2 linked regions of the Oryzias latipes genome follow. The protein of the gene in region 1 purifies or fractionates together with the protein of each later gene. This does not show direct contact. Links are inferred from orthologs where the notes say so. Each region holds a gene or a part of one and is shown in the gene's direction. Other genes may lie near its edges.

Region 1 (7,601 bases):
CAAGGCTCTACAATCTGGAGTTATTCAAGCAGCAGCTTTGGATGTGACTTATCCTGAACCGTTACCAAGGTAACAACGCATTTGACATCTTGAGGTTTATTTAAACGGATTAAAAAGACAAAAGCAATGATGGAATAAAAGTGTCATGTGACTGGGCTTTGCTGCTTGCTTTGTGCAGAGATCATCCTCTCCTCAGCCTTCCCAATGTGCTCCTCACTCCCCATGCAGGGACCAACACTAACACCACAGTGAGAAAGATGGTGCAGCTGATGGTGGAGAACGCTGTCGCTGTTGTAAAAGGTAGTCAGGTTCCCAATGAAGTCAAGCTTTAAAAATGCTATCATGATAATACATGGAAATTATAGAGCAAAAAATTAGTTTAGCATTATGGGGTTTTTAAGACTGATTATTTGAGGCTGCCCCATGGCTGGAAACGGGGCTGCCGGAGCCTATCCCAGCCACTTGTGGGTGAAGATAGGGGGCACCCTGGACAGGCCGCCAGTCTGTCGCTGGTTATATTACGTTATGTCTTTAAATTTACAGCTGTCATAGAGTTCTTATATAAAACAAACGTGGCCAAGAGCTGTATCAATAGATGTTTTCAAATTACTAAGCCACTGTAAACAGTAGGACTGAGAAGCAGGAAATCTAGGTGTTGGTAAAGAGTGGCTTTATACATTCTATCTCATTTATGTTTTTTTTCTTGTATGATATTGTTGTAAATTACTCAGTTGCGCATCTGTCGACATATTCAATCGTAATCTGTAGAATCACAGGTTTTCTTTGTACTTGAATAAATAAACAAAAAGACAAAAATGTGAGTCCAAGACCTCCTTTTTAATGTGACAAATGGGTTTTACCATACAAACTATTATATTATGCAATTTACCGCACAATACTATGTACAATGAACTAACATTAACATTTTTTAAATGAATAAATAACGCACTAAAAAATATGGAAGAATACTGGGGGGTATTCCAGGAAGCAGGTTTAAACTAGCCTGACTTTAACCCTGAACTCTGGCTGAAGTCCGCCTGAACTTGCTTACTCTGGGTATGTCGGTTCCAAAAGACCGGATATGAGTTGGCGTAATTACGCTGGACTTGGTAACCCTGGGTTAATGCACGTGCACAGCAAGTACATAAAGACATTCTCAATGGATCGTCGATATCCAGAGTCACCATAGAAACGTGACGAGAACAAAAGAGAGCGCTATACTTTTGTGACAGAGTCTGAGATTTAAATGACAGTGTGTGAGGATTATACGTCCATCAAAAAAGTAATACGGCTGCATCATCAGCAAAAGAAAGAGTTTCTGCTTGGAGAAAAAGAAGGAAAAAGTAAACGCACGAGTTTCAATCTCATTTCTATTTTCATTGTGACGCATATAACTTATCCAACTTAAATGAATTGCTTCTATTGGTATCAAGTAATTGAGTTAAATTTATTCAACCTAATTTCTTACGTCTACCCAACTCAATATTGTTTTACAACTCAAATTTACATATTTATATAACTAAATGTGATTTTACTCAAATGTTTTTCCATCTTAATTTATTGTACTTCTTGAACTCTCCTATGTCTAAGTTTGAGCCGGCAGATATACTCATTTTATAACAATAAAATGATTGAAACAAAATGGAATTGTATCATGACTCAAGATGTAGTTTACAATTTCTCTTACTTGGACAATACATCACCAAGAATAAGCGGCTTCTAAATAAAACCTCATCATCCTCTCCCTCCCTCACTCATGGTGCAGAAAAAATATAACATAAAAGGACAAATAACTCAGCAAAACACAGTAAAACAGCTAAACAACTAAACACAGTTGGTCAAAAACCCACACTTAAACCCAAATCCGTCCAGACATGCAAATGGAATGGTATCCCACAATTGCTTGCGGTGCAGATCTAACAGCAGCATCAAAGTTACACCTACTTAATAAAATTAATTTGAATTAAGGTAAAATAACTGTCTGATAACTAGATGTTATTTTTAAGATGACTTAACAAAATAATTGATTTATCTTAACTGAAGCAAATAATTAAGTTAGAGCAATGTAAAAAAGTTTATCTTTCCAACATCTATATGTGGTCTTATCACCCTCTCATGGTGGAAAAAGTATTATCTGAGCTTCTTCATCCACTAAATCATCTTCAAATGGACACACCATGCTGCTTCACCTCTCTGAAAACAAACTAAGCTTCAACTAAACCTGCTCCAGACCAGGTTATGTTCAGAGCATGAGTTGCCATGGCAACTTGACCTACCCTGAAACATACCTCCATTTTTGGAACCAAAAGCTGAGGTTATCAACTTCCTTAGCCTCAAAGTTACCGTGGTAACTAGAATAACCTGCTTATTGGAATACCCCCCTGGAGGGGAAAATATTAGAAACAATAAAAAATAATGTAAGCAGTAAAAAAGGAACCAAAGGGCAGAGAACAATAAAAGAAAGGTAGAAAGACTTTGAAAATGTTCTTTTTTTATTTAGTAAAATAAACAGTTTACATTTTAAAAATTCCTGTGAAAGTGGGTTATTTCTTTTTTATAAAGTAAGTAGTGTATGCAGTAATTTTCCAGAAAGAATGTTTACAACCACATCAAAAAGAAGATAAAACAAGTAACAAATATTAAAGATAGAAGCAGAATATCCAACAAAGAACCCAAATCTAACTAAAAGCCTGCTGAAATAAAAAAAGTCTTATGATTGAATGCCTCAGTCTTGTCAATGACTGTACAACCCTTGAATGTCTCGTATACAGTCAATGGTAGAAGCAGAGTCAGGGTGTTCCAGAGTTTGGCTGCCATTGCTTGGAATGTCATATCCACTCGAGTTTTAAAATGCGTGTGGGGACAACAGTTTCTATCATGAAAAGAAACAAACGAAAAAAAAGATCACACAACAGTAAAAATCATAGTGTATTAAAAACATTAAATGAACCCTGGAGAAAATTTGGGCTTTAAAGTTAATTTGACACATTTTGCTGCTGCAAGCTACGGCAAGCTACATCTACTATTACTACTACTACTAACAACAACAACAATAATAATAATAATAATATTCTTATTGTTAATAATAATAATAATAATAATAATAATAATAATAATAAAATTAATAATAATAGGCGGGGCTAACCCCCAGATCGCTACACTATTATACATTGGTAAATAAATAAATAAATAAATAAATAAATAAATAAATAAATAAAGCTTCAACGCGGACAAATTTACTTGCATTTGTTAAATAAAGTTATATAAAAAAAATAAAAAAAACGCGGACAAATTGACCATTTTATTTCTAGAGGGTGTTTTGGCTACTAGCCTGACTAAAGAAATCTAAAAAATAATGTTTTTGTTCCTAGGTGGGGGTAAACTAATAATAATCTACACACGCTACTACAAAACCAATACATTTAAAGGTTAAAATAGGTTATAATGATTTTAGATTTTCTTAAGTTTGCTTTTTTGATGAATTATAGTCAGGCATTCCTGAAGTATGCCTAAACTAGTTTCAGTCCTCAAAATCTCCACGAACGTATACAACAGAATCAGGCATGGAAACTTGAGGAAGCGTGTGCTTAGATATTACAAATTTTCAGTTGTGATTAGCGTACTCCTACATACTTTTTTTAACCGTAACTCTCTGGTTTTGTGTCAGCTCCCTGTTCAGCATCATGTTTGTTTCCTCGCAAGACTCGCCTCCTGTTTTCAAAGATTTTACCCTCGTCATGGTGAGTTTTTGTTTCACTTCTTGCAAACGTTTCTCTGTTGCAACTGCAAGCAGTTTTACTTTGTATATTACTATCAACAAGTCTGTGTTACTTACTTCTTTTTTTTTTACTTTATTCATAGCTGTAATTGGTTCCAGTCAGTTAGTTTGTAGATTGATTCTTTATTATAATTGTGGTTGTTATTGAACTCTAACAAATAACAGCAGTAAAACTGTAACACATTCGAGTAAAAGGATGTCAGAGGGAGAATGTAGCTCCTCTGCGATTTGATGTTCATGCAGAAAACACCGGGGTCAGGTCTGTTGTGATAAATGGCCTTGGCCATTATTATGACATTTAATTGGTTAAACCAAGTCACGTATGTATTAACAAATTCCATCACTTAAGATAATTTTCTCTACCAAAACTAAAGATTGTTAGGTTTAATTGACGATTGCTATTTTCTGACATTTATTTGTATTAATAATTTGGTTCCTAACACCTCCAGAATGATAAATGCATGGACATAATATTGTTTTTCAAGTTTTTGCCATAATGTTTCATAAACTAGGGTGAAATACTGCATTTTAAAGTTCTAGCTAAGTTGTTTTGATTTGAAAAAGGCATTAGAAATGTGCTGTTTTATTCGATTGTGATGTAAAAGAGTTTTCAGGCCTTCTGAAAGCCTTTCACCTCACAGTAGTAGCCGTCTTCCATATTTGTCCTGTTTCTTTGGGTGTCCCCTTAGCCGGCTGTTTCTGTTGGTAACGTGGGTCAGCTGGCGGTCGACCTCATCGTATCTACTCTTAACATGAGGAGAGTGGGCTACATGCACACAGACTGTCTCATCCCCATGGCTGGAAACAACCCCTACAGCTCCTGCAAAGAGGATGCGGAGGAGCTGCACACTCCTGCAGAAGGTAACATGGGTTCAGCAAAGTCTGTCTGATTGATACGTTTTCTATGCTGCAAATGTTGTTGCATTGATTTGTGTTGACAGTTTTTTGGGTGACTTGGTTTAAGGGTTTATGTGATAGTTTTGTATTTCGTGTACAATCACCCTTTTATGTGACAGACTGACAGATTTTAATATTTCACTGTATTGTGTAGAGCAGCGGTCCCCAACCTTTATTGCACCACGGACCGGTTTGATGTCTGGCAAAATTCTCACGGTCCGGTATGTTATATGTGGCGGACACACGCTGCAGCAACGCTACTACAGAGGCAGAGACGCGTGATAAGACGCGCTCTGCACCTTTATTTTGACACGCTAAACATTGTTCATCGCACTTGTGTCATCATCCTCTCCCCTTCCCACACTCATGGTGCTAAAATTCCCTGTGATACCAGCTCCGACAGTAACCCCTGCAGCCTGCGGAACTCCGACAGCAGACCAAACGTGCACGTGACAGACACTACAATACAACAAAGTGATGAGACTTGCATGAAAACGGTGGTATTTTCTAAACATTACAATTAACAAGAATTAGGACATGAGCAACGTCCTCTCTGCCGGCAACACTCTCTGGTCGCTATTATTATAACATTTAAACATGCCTTCAAAATAAGTGCATGGAAAATCCAACTCACCACAGTGCTGAATGGTTCGAGGGAATCTCCCGTTGAGATAAATCCGTATTTTTAGTAGGACTCCTGATACTGTCTTTTTAAATGTAGCTTTCTTTTTTGGGGGGGGAGTGGAAGGCTCCTCTTTGGTCTCCTGGCTGAGCCTTTTCCCCATGGCAAAGAAACTTTCCAAAGACGTTTGTTTTTTATTCATTTTACTAGCTCCTGGGTTTTATTTTAGCGGTAACCCATCACGTGACCGAGATCAGCGAATTGGCCTGCGTCAAGAGTGACATAGACGAATGGAACAAAGAATCTGCAGTTTTTCAAAATAAAACATCTTTCAGATTCTGAAATAAATAAAACGGAAGTCATGTCAGTTATTTTATTTTTTCTGTGTGGCCCGGTACCAAATGACCGTCTGCGGCCCGGGGGTTGGGGACCACTGGTGCAGACAAAACGTATTTCATTAAAATGTAACGGAATCTGTAAAATAAATCATTTGCAGTTTACACAGCAGCAGAAATGAAGCTGGCAGTTCTCCAGATCAGAGCCCCAATTATTCAGGTAAAGCCGTTTGATTCCCGTCAACATTTACGTGGAATTAGTCAGATTTCTGACTTGTTTGTTTACTGCAGACGAGGACCAAGCGGTTTCGCCAGCAGCTGGTATCTTGGATCAAAGCGAGCGGTTTCTCCAGAACAATGGTTCTGTCCAGCAGCCATGCCTACCAGAGAGACGACCTGCAGCTTCAGGGGTAATCCTGCAGTCTGACAGCATCCTTGTATATTTTTGTAACCATTTCCAGACATTTCTGTTCTGATGAATCTGCGTTTTCATCAGTTCTCCTCTTCGGTTCCTGGTCACACCGTCTCTGCTGGGAGTGAGTGCTGATGCTCTGAAGGAGCTGGGCTGGAGGGAGATGGAGCGAACGCCGGCCTTTCCCGGACTAACGGATGCTGAGGCCGAGCCTCGACTCTGCATCCCAGGAGGAGGCATCACAAAAGGACTTTACTCTGACAGGTACTGGGACTCCGACATGACACCTGTACCCATAACGTAAAAAAAGCCCTCTTTGCTGTCCTGGTAATTGGCCATTAACTGTTGTTGAACTTTCATTGTTAAATTACAATTTATTGTAATTTGGGAATTGAAACCAAAGGAATACAAAAATATAAATTGAGATTCTCTGTTTTAAAGACTTCAAGAAGAAGGTAGTTTGGGTTTAGCGTTTAGCGCTCTTTGCAGAAAACACCTCCTGCCTGAAATCCAGGCTGTAAACACAGAGAGAAAGTTAAAAATTCTTAAAATATGAAAAACAAAATGGTTTCTTAAAATAAAAAAATCTGCCAGTAGGTAAGAAAATGGTCTCAACAAGAATTGTGGGGAAAAATCTAGTCACTTAGGCATGTTTTCTTAAACTAACATTATTTTGCTATTGATAAGTTTCCTTGATAAGATTAATTTATTGCAAAGCAGAAAATAAGAATTTTTTGCTTGTCACCCCCCTTGAAAGCTGGCTGGGGAGAGCAGGGATCGATCCACCAACCCTTCGGTTGTTGAACGACCCGCTCAATGGCATCTGAGTTGTTTTATTTAAAATTCACTGTGGTAATGTACAGAAACTAAAGTACAAAGAATGTGTCTCTGTCCAAATATTTATGGTCCTGACTGTAGATCCCAAAAATGGTCTTAAAAATGTCTGTAGCCATGCGTGAACGCAGGTTTTTAATGTTAAACCTTAAATGTGCATTTATCTTTTCATTTGAAGTTCGTCCACCGCCAAGCGTGTTTTAGACGCAGCTTCAGAGCCAAAAGGTCGCTACAAACCCGGATATTGAGTAGATGGCTATTAAAAGTAAATCATAATATCAGCATGGTTTTTTAAAGCCTGAATTTAAGAAAACATGGCTTAATCTTATTGATTCATTTAGTCTTTTTGTTTAGTCACAAAAAGTTTAGAATAACTTCAGAACGTAACAACTGCAGCTCTTGTTTGTGTCTCTGATCTCATGCTGTGTGTAGTTGTGCAGAGGATCTCCGGCTCGCCGTCTTGCTGCTCTTCTGTTCTGAAGGAGACAACATTCCCGACGCCTTTGCTCTGGTGAATCATCTCAACGACTGGCTTCATCTGCTGGACAACCAGGTTTGAAAGACAGAAAACCTGCTGATATGATGAAGCTCATCCAGTGTAGAGGTTTGAATTAACAGATATATATGAATCATTTTTCTTATTTCCATTTTTAGGACCAGGAGCCAAATAGCAGATGGAAAATTCCTACTTCTTGGAGTCTTCTGTTTGGAAGTGGAATCCCT
Region 2 (7,290 bases), on another chromosome or scaffold:
TAGCCTGATAGCCACATGGAGCGGTTGCTTGTGCTTATCTCAATAACAATGCATGGATGCACAATGTACATGGAGAGTGTTAAGATGTCAGAAACGTCATCGCAGGAAAGGTTCAACATTTTCCCTGAAAGGGGAAAAATAAAATCAGAGGACCTGATTATAATCATTGTCTCAATGAAAATAGAAACATATCATAAGGTCCAGGGGGGTATTCCAGAAAGCAGGTTATGCTAGCTCCCACGATAAGTTTGAGGCTAAGGAAGTTGATAACCTCAGCTTTTGGTTCCAGAAATGGAGGTATGTTTCAGGGTAGGTCAAGTTACCATGGCAACTCATGCTCTGAACATAACCTGGTCTGGAGCAGGTTTAGTTGAAGCTTAGTTTGTTTACAGAGAGGGGAAGCAGCATGGCGTGTCCATTTAAAGATGACTTAGTGGATGAAAAAGCTCAGATAATACTTTTTCCACCATGAGGGGGTGATAAGACCACATATGGATGTTGGAAAGATAAACTTTTTTACTTTGATCTAACTTAATTATTTGCTTCAGTTAAGATAAATCATTTTTTTTGTTAGGTCACCTTAAAAATAACACGTAGTTTTCAGACAATTATTTTCCTTTCGTTCAAATTAATTCAATTAAGTAGGTGTAACTTTGGTGCTGCCGTTAGATCGGCACCGCAAGGGATTCTGGGATATCATTCCCTTTGCCTGTCTGGACGGATTTGGGTTTAAGTGTGGGTTTTTTACAAAATGTGTTTAGTTGTATAGCTGTTTTACTGTGTTTCACCGTGTTTTGCCGAGCTATTTTGTCCTACTATGCTTACGTCTCTGCACCATGAGTGAGAGTGAAGGAAAGAATGATGAGTTTATATAGCACCCCTACCACAGGAACCTGCTATGACAGTGACAGAAAATTCTTTAATGAATTTTTGCACTCCGTGCATTTTTTTTCCGTTCTTTTTATTTTTATAAAAATGAGCATATCTGCCGGCTCAAACTTAGACATATGAAAGTTCAAGAAATATAAGTAATTAAGATGGAAAAAAGATTAATGGAGTAATGTGACATTTAGTTAGATAAATACGTACATTTGAGTTGTATAAACAATTATTGAGTTTGAATTAATTTAACTAAATTATTTAAATTATTTTTCAGCCATGTTACTTTTTTGATGGACTTATAATTTTTTTCCGCTCTCATTAAAATCTCAGACTCCGTCTCACTTAAGTACAGCGCTTTCTTTTTTTTTCACCATGCGTTTCCATGGTGACTCCAGAAATCGGCGATCTATTGAGAATGTCTTTATGTACCGTGCGTTAACCCAGGGTTACCAAGTCGAGCGTAATTACGCCAACTCATATCCGGTCTTTTGGACCCGACATACCCAGAGTAAGCAAGTTCAGGCGGATTTCAGCCAGAGTTCAGGCTTAAAGTCAGGGTAGTTTAAACATGCTTCCTGGAATACCCCCCAGGAGGCACGAGCAGGCTTGTCCCGCTTTGCGCAGCTGCCTGGTCTGAGTTTGTCGGTCTGCCAGCTCACCTCCTGCGAGCCGACATCAGGCATGATGTGAGCTTTGAGTGAATGGCGTAAGAATGAGGAGTGTTTCAACCGGGGACTTCGAGACGTGGACGACCGGAGCTCCTCTGTAGTTTGGTCCACACAAACCCTCAAACTAGAAAAACAGAGTCGTAGATGTTTGCTGCAGCAGACAGATTGTTTGTCTCTATTTGATCTCTAATGTCAGCAAAGCCGCGCGGATATCGCTGAAACATGAAATCTCTCTGACTGGCACACTGCTAAGCGGGTATCGAGGAATATGAGTCGATTTCCATGGATGAGCCAATGAACGTTTAGATCCCGCCCACTTTCACTGATTGACAGACAGACCCATTCTCCTGAAAAAGCTCTTCATGAAATAAATAAGCCATTGTGAAAAACAGCAACATGAAATAAAAACAAAGCTACTTTGGAAAATATTGATTTTGAAATACGAGCTTCTGAAAAAAGACAGAATTATAATAATATTCAACATGATAAAAAATGAATATTTTAAAATGCTTTTTTAAAATAATGAACAGGTTTTTAAAGCAAAATGAAATATATTGAATAATGACTAATTTAAAATCTGTGTGCAGGTTTTTCACAATTTCATTATCTTTTTGTATATTTATGAGATTTATGAGATTTATAGGTTTATTGTGTATTTGCATGAGGTCATATTTATTTATTTAATTAAATATTTATTTATTTAATTATGAACAGTATAGGACTCCATAGTCCCAAATAGGCTGCTCCATCGTAGAACTCAGTCTGGAATGTCACACTTTGCATTTCTGAGCTCCTCTACTATGTTCCAGACTGAGATCTACGATGGACCAGCCTATTTGGGCCACCATGTAAGAAAAATAAATGTCTGAGAATAAAGAAATAAAATTAAGAGAAACAATTAAGTTTCCTTTTCTTTTAAGAATAAAGTTGTAAAATTTTTAGAAAAAAAGTTGCACAGCGTTAAAAAAATCAATTTCCGGGAATGAAGTCACAAGTTTATTGCTTCAAAAAGTTGTAACTTTACAAGGAAATGGTCAGGTCTTTTTTTGAAAACAAAATTTTACTTATGTCTTTTAAAATGTTTTTAACAAAGACACACATTATCTATACCCGTACATTTAATTTATGTGATATCAAATGGATATCGATTGTTTTTGTTTTCGATTACTCTGGTCTGACATCCATCGCTGTGGGGGGTTATCGATTGCTTATGTCTGCCAGTTAGTCAGAGCAGGAAGCCTCGGTGGTGTGCACGGCTAAAGCTAACATTCATTGAATGAACGTGTTCAAAAATGAACGGAGCGGACTTCCGAGGAATTTCAGTTCATAATTTTTCTGAGAAAATCCTGGAGCAGGTCGTCCACTTCCATGTCATGAAGTTGGACGGCGGGTTCTTCCTCTGGGTCGGTTCGGCTCCGGTTCTGTCCAACTTAGCGGTCTCTCTGAACAGCAAATACGTGAGTACAGAACCCAGGTTTGTTTTGCTGACATTTAACTTTAAGCTAAAACCTGAACGTTAGCAATATAAACGTTATTAAAACCCTAAAATAACTCATGAAGTATTTCAATAAAGTCAGCTGAGTTTGGAACTTTAATATAACATAAAAACACATTTTAGTTAATTCCATTAAAAGAAAAAAATTCTTTGATATTTTCCAAAACTAGCTTAATTTTTGTTGTTTACATTTATTTTTAACTTTTAATAGTTTTTTCCCCCAAATTAAATGAGCAAGTCATAGTCACAGTCACAGATTTTTATTATTATTAATAATAACAGTAGTAGTAGTTGTAGTAGTAGTAATGTTGTTTTTTTATTTTTATTTTTACAATTACTTTATTTAAAAAAATTGCCTTTCCAAAAACATTGCCTGACTCCAAAATAACAGATTTAGTCTTCCTTCGTGAATATTAAAACAGGAAAATGCAATTCATAAAGACACCCCACATTTTTCACCCCAAATGATCTTGTTTATTTAAAACCAAAAAAAAATCATTGAAGATTTTAGGTCATATACAACTAAACAAATAAAATGTCTCATGTTGTTTTTTTCTTCATTAATGTTTGTCTTCTTTGAAAATTTTTACAAAAGATCCCTGCTTCTAAATACATTGAAGCTAAATGTGAAAATATTCTCATTTGAATTTTTAAATCTATAATTTCCCAATAATTCTAATCTCTTGTTTATCATAAGAGACCTTTCATTCTGTCTGTCATTGTATCCACTGACTTCAGTTCTGCAGTCTTGGATTGATTATTTACAACAGACATCGTTAAATATTTAGTTACTCCATCATGTAAAAAGTTTACTCTGGAAAATCTATTATTATTTCTTTCCAACTGTTTTATAATCCGGATTGGCTTTAAAAATGCGGAACGCAATTACAAAGAAATCAAACTTTCTTTTAGTAAGAATCTAGTAATTATTTCCTGGTTTTACATGCTGTTTGTTTTTGTTTGCAGGATTCAATGCCGTTATCTACGCTGGTGATGGGGGACCCGTCTGAGACCACTGCGAGTTCTTTAGCACAGAGATTAGGTAATCTCAACCCTTTCTATCATTTTTTTTCATAGCTTTATGAGTCCAAAGACAACAAAGTTAAAACTATTCCTTCTTTTCCTGTCAGGCAGTTTCAATTATCATCAGATCTTTCTTTGGAATCACTCCTCTTATAAACCTAATAATCCCTTCACTACACATATGCTTTACAAGACAAACTTCATAATCCATCTGTCACTCATTATTCCACCTAAACACAAGTACAGATTAAAGTTAAACAGAGATGCATATAACTGTGAGAATATTAACAGAAAGAAATTAACCAAAAATAATGGAAGTAAATTATTATTATTTTAAATTAATACATTTTTGGCCCTAAAAGGTCACTTTAAAGAGTTTCACTTCTCTTAACTAGGTTTGAAAGTAATTAATTATTTTCACATGTTATTATTTTTTCATTTACCGGTACATTTTAGATTTGGCTGCTCCATTAGCCAATATAGGTCAATGCGAATGCCCTTTCTGCCTGCAGGGGGCGCCACAAATCATAACGATTATTTTTTAATTATAATAAAGCTTGTTAATACCAATTCTTCTTTCAATGAAAAAAATGTATATTGAAAGATGCATAATTATCATAACTCAAAATGATGCTTCTCTCCTGAAAAAAAGCTTTCCAGGACACAGAAGAAAAGAATTTGGAAAAAGCAGGAAGAATAAGAGTTAAAGCACTAAGATTAAATGCATCTTCAGTTATTTAGCACAGTGAACTGTTCAGTTAAAAATGTCTTAACAAGCAGCTTCAACATGGTATGTTATTAATCTCTAATAAGTACAGTTTTTTAAAAATCTAAGATACAAACCAGTTAAAGTAATTTTTACATCAGACATCTTCATAGATTGTTACCTTTGTAGTTATTATAATTATTTCAGCGGCTGGGTAGCTCAGTTGGTAAGGTGAGAAGCCACCACCAGAAACCAGGGTTCGATTCCCGGAGGGGCCTGAACAATGGTAGTGGGGGCAATTAACATCACCTTGGGCAAGACCCTTAACGCTACTGCCTCCTGAGCGCGGTTCGGCTGCAGCTCACCGCTCCCCCAGGGGATGGGTCAAATGCGGACAACAAATTTCCCATTGTGGGATAAAAAAAACAACAAAAAAAACATTTCATTAATTAGCAGGTTTTTTATGTTATAGTTGGGTTTTCATGTTGGATTAAAACCTTTTTTTGTCATCTATTGACATGTCGGGTGACTTATAGGAAATATAGGCAGAAATAATGATATTCAGCTAAATTTAAGATGGAGGCGAGGAGGGCGGACGATGAGAGGGTCTGGCTTTGACTCTAACTTTTGGAGTTCAAAATCTCCTTTGAAACAAAATAACGCCACAAAAATCAATTATTGATGTACAGATACCTCAACGTATTCACTCATGTGTTAAATGATACTTTATTTACGGAGATGAAGAGGATTCAAATATGAATATTTGACATTTTGTTATCTTTTAGATTAAGAGCAAAGCTTCCCTCCAAAGCTTTTAGGAAAAACAAATGAGTGATTTCATAAATAAACCAACATATGTTTAGGTCAATACAAAATGCTCTTTTAAAGGGAGATGACATTCAGTTTATTGCATTAGTCACATCATGTACCTGTACGGGCGCCTCTGGTTTTTGGGATGTCTGTGGAGGGTTGTAAAGAGGAGCGGCAGGTGTGTTTTGCAGTTGCCTTAAGGAATGTACCATTGTCGTACGTGGGGTAGGCGTATCGTGAAGTATTTGTAAAGATGATGCAAGTTACCCTCACTTCTGATGCAGGGGGGGGGTGCTGTTGTGCGGCGCCCTCACACCACACTAGTCGTTGGTGAGGTGCGCATATCACAAATTCAAGCGCACTTATTTCCTGATCAGCTCTAATGGGCTCCCTGCACTGGGTGCAAGTTTGGGGGGGTGAAAAAAAATGTTATATTTGTAAGACGCGCCTGCGTCTGACCTACTTCGCTCTTACCTACCCTTTGTGGTCGCATAAGTGTTCGCGTTGACCCATCGCCTGGAGCATGCCCATAGAAAAGATGTGCGTGACCATCTTTGCTCTACGAGTTCAATAAGCGTTCTTTGATCTTAAAATTTTGTGCGGGCCACCTGCGTACATTTGTCCGCCGTAGTCCGGCCGTATCAACATATAAGGGCAGTTGTTGTGACTAAGGCATAAGCTAAGCAAGCTTGTATGTTTACTGTCAGGGTGGGCATCAAAGAGAAATTGCGTCTGTTTTGCAGCAAAGAGGACGGAGAAGCAGGTCTTTGTGAGCTACAGTCTTCCCATGAGCGACTCCAGCCTCAGTCTGTTGGTAGAAGGCCGAATCAAAAAGGAGCTGGAGCTTCACCCGGAGCACTTTTAAACAACATAACAACAGCACACAGAAAGGTGAAGACCCACCCAACCGCTCTCCCTCATCAAACAAGCATCAAGTTACCAGGACAACCAATCACAGCCAGTTTGTTTGCTTTTTTTATTAGCATAATAAATTAGGAGGTTTATCAAAACTGGTAGGCCTATGGCTTTTTGTACAAATGCATCTTATTAAAAAATAACACTTAAAAAACAGTATTAGTGGCTTTTTTATGTTGAAAACATACAAACTAGTAACCAGACATGTGAGCTATGTGCTAAATATGGAAACTATTTGTATTTCAAGAAAACAAACGAGTCACGATTTAGGCGTCTTTATGTTTTGGAAGAAAGAAAAATTGGCACAAGTCGGCAAACTATGAATATTGATGCAGTTCTGGTTGATGTTGGGTTTGGAAAGTGGTTAAACCTACACAAGTCACGAGGCCAGACCTACACTGCTCTACTCTAATCCTCACAAACACTTACTCCAGAAAATGGTTGAATATTGTGCTTTCTGTTCAGAGGAACTGAGGTTCACAACACGGTGCAAAGGAGGAAGAGGAGGAGGTGTGGAAGTATCTACAGAGTGTTTCTAGCTAACACCCCTCCCCTCGCTTCTGTGGAATTCAAAAATAAATCCAGAATTTCTTTGATTTCATTCGATCTGGTCTAAAAAAAAAAAAAAAGAAAATCACATTAAAGCCATCTGAGATGCGTCATCAGACACGGCGAAGGTCACTCCAAAATGCCCATTCAGCTCCCAAATGTGGTGGCGTCGATTCTCCGGCTGATGGACAGCCATCATGCGCCCACCACGGTGTTAGGTTAGAAGTCTACACCGGCCTCAC

The links. Proteins that work in one complex are often made in the same cells at the same time.
Region 2: the proteins of psmg2 (region 1) and psmg4 purify together in Homo sapiens (affinity purification with mass spectrometry; 3 studies listed by BioGRID and IntAct, counting the BioPlex papers as one, with this or other methods). This does not show direct contact. The link is inferred for Oryzias latipes from reciprocal best matches to the Homo sapiens genes PSMG2 and PSMG4.

What each region holds. Positions count from the first base shown.
Region 1 is NC_019869.2:7,090,188-7,097,788, reverse strand, and holds the start of psmg2 (proteasome assembly chaperone 2), read left to right. Parts: upstream 1-3,531; 5' UTR 3,532-3,683; coding exon 3,684-3,740; intron 3,741-4,467; coding exon 4,468-4,639; intron 4,640-5,793; coding exon 5,794-5,852; intron 5,853-5,923; coding exon 5,924-6,042; intron 6,043-6,128; coding exon 6,129-6,308; intron 6,309-7,310; coding exon 7,311-7,431; intron 7,432-7,532; coding exon 7,533-7,601. Other genes in the region: uncharacterized protein LOC101168130, read left to right, coding at 1-69, 179-332. UniProt on the Homo sapiens protein: Chaperone protein which promotes assembly of the 20S proteasome as part of a heterodimer with PSMG1.
Region 2 is NC_019862.2:21,271,105-21,278,394, forward strand, and holds psmg4 (proteasome assembly chaperone 4), read left to right. Parts: upstream 1-2,744; 5' UTR 2,745-2,842; coding exon 2,843-3,007; intron 3,008-4,011; coding exon 4,012-4,087; intron 4,088-6,327; coding exon 6,328-6,449; 3' UTR 6,450-6,653; downstream 6,654-7,290. UniProt on the Homo sapiens protein: Chaperone protein which promotes assembly of the 20S proteasome.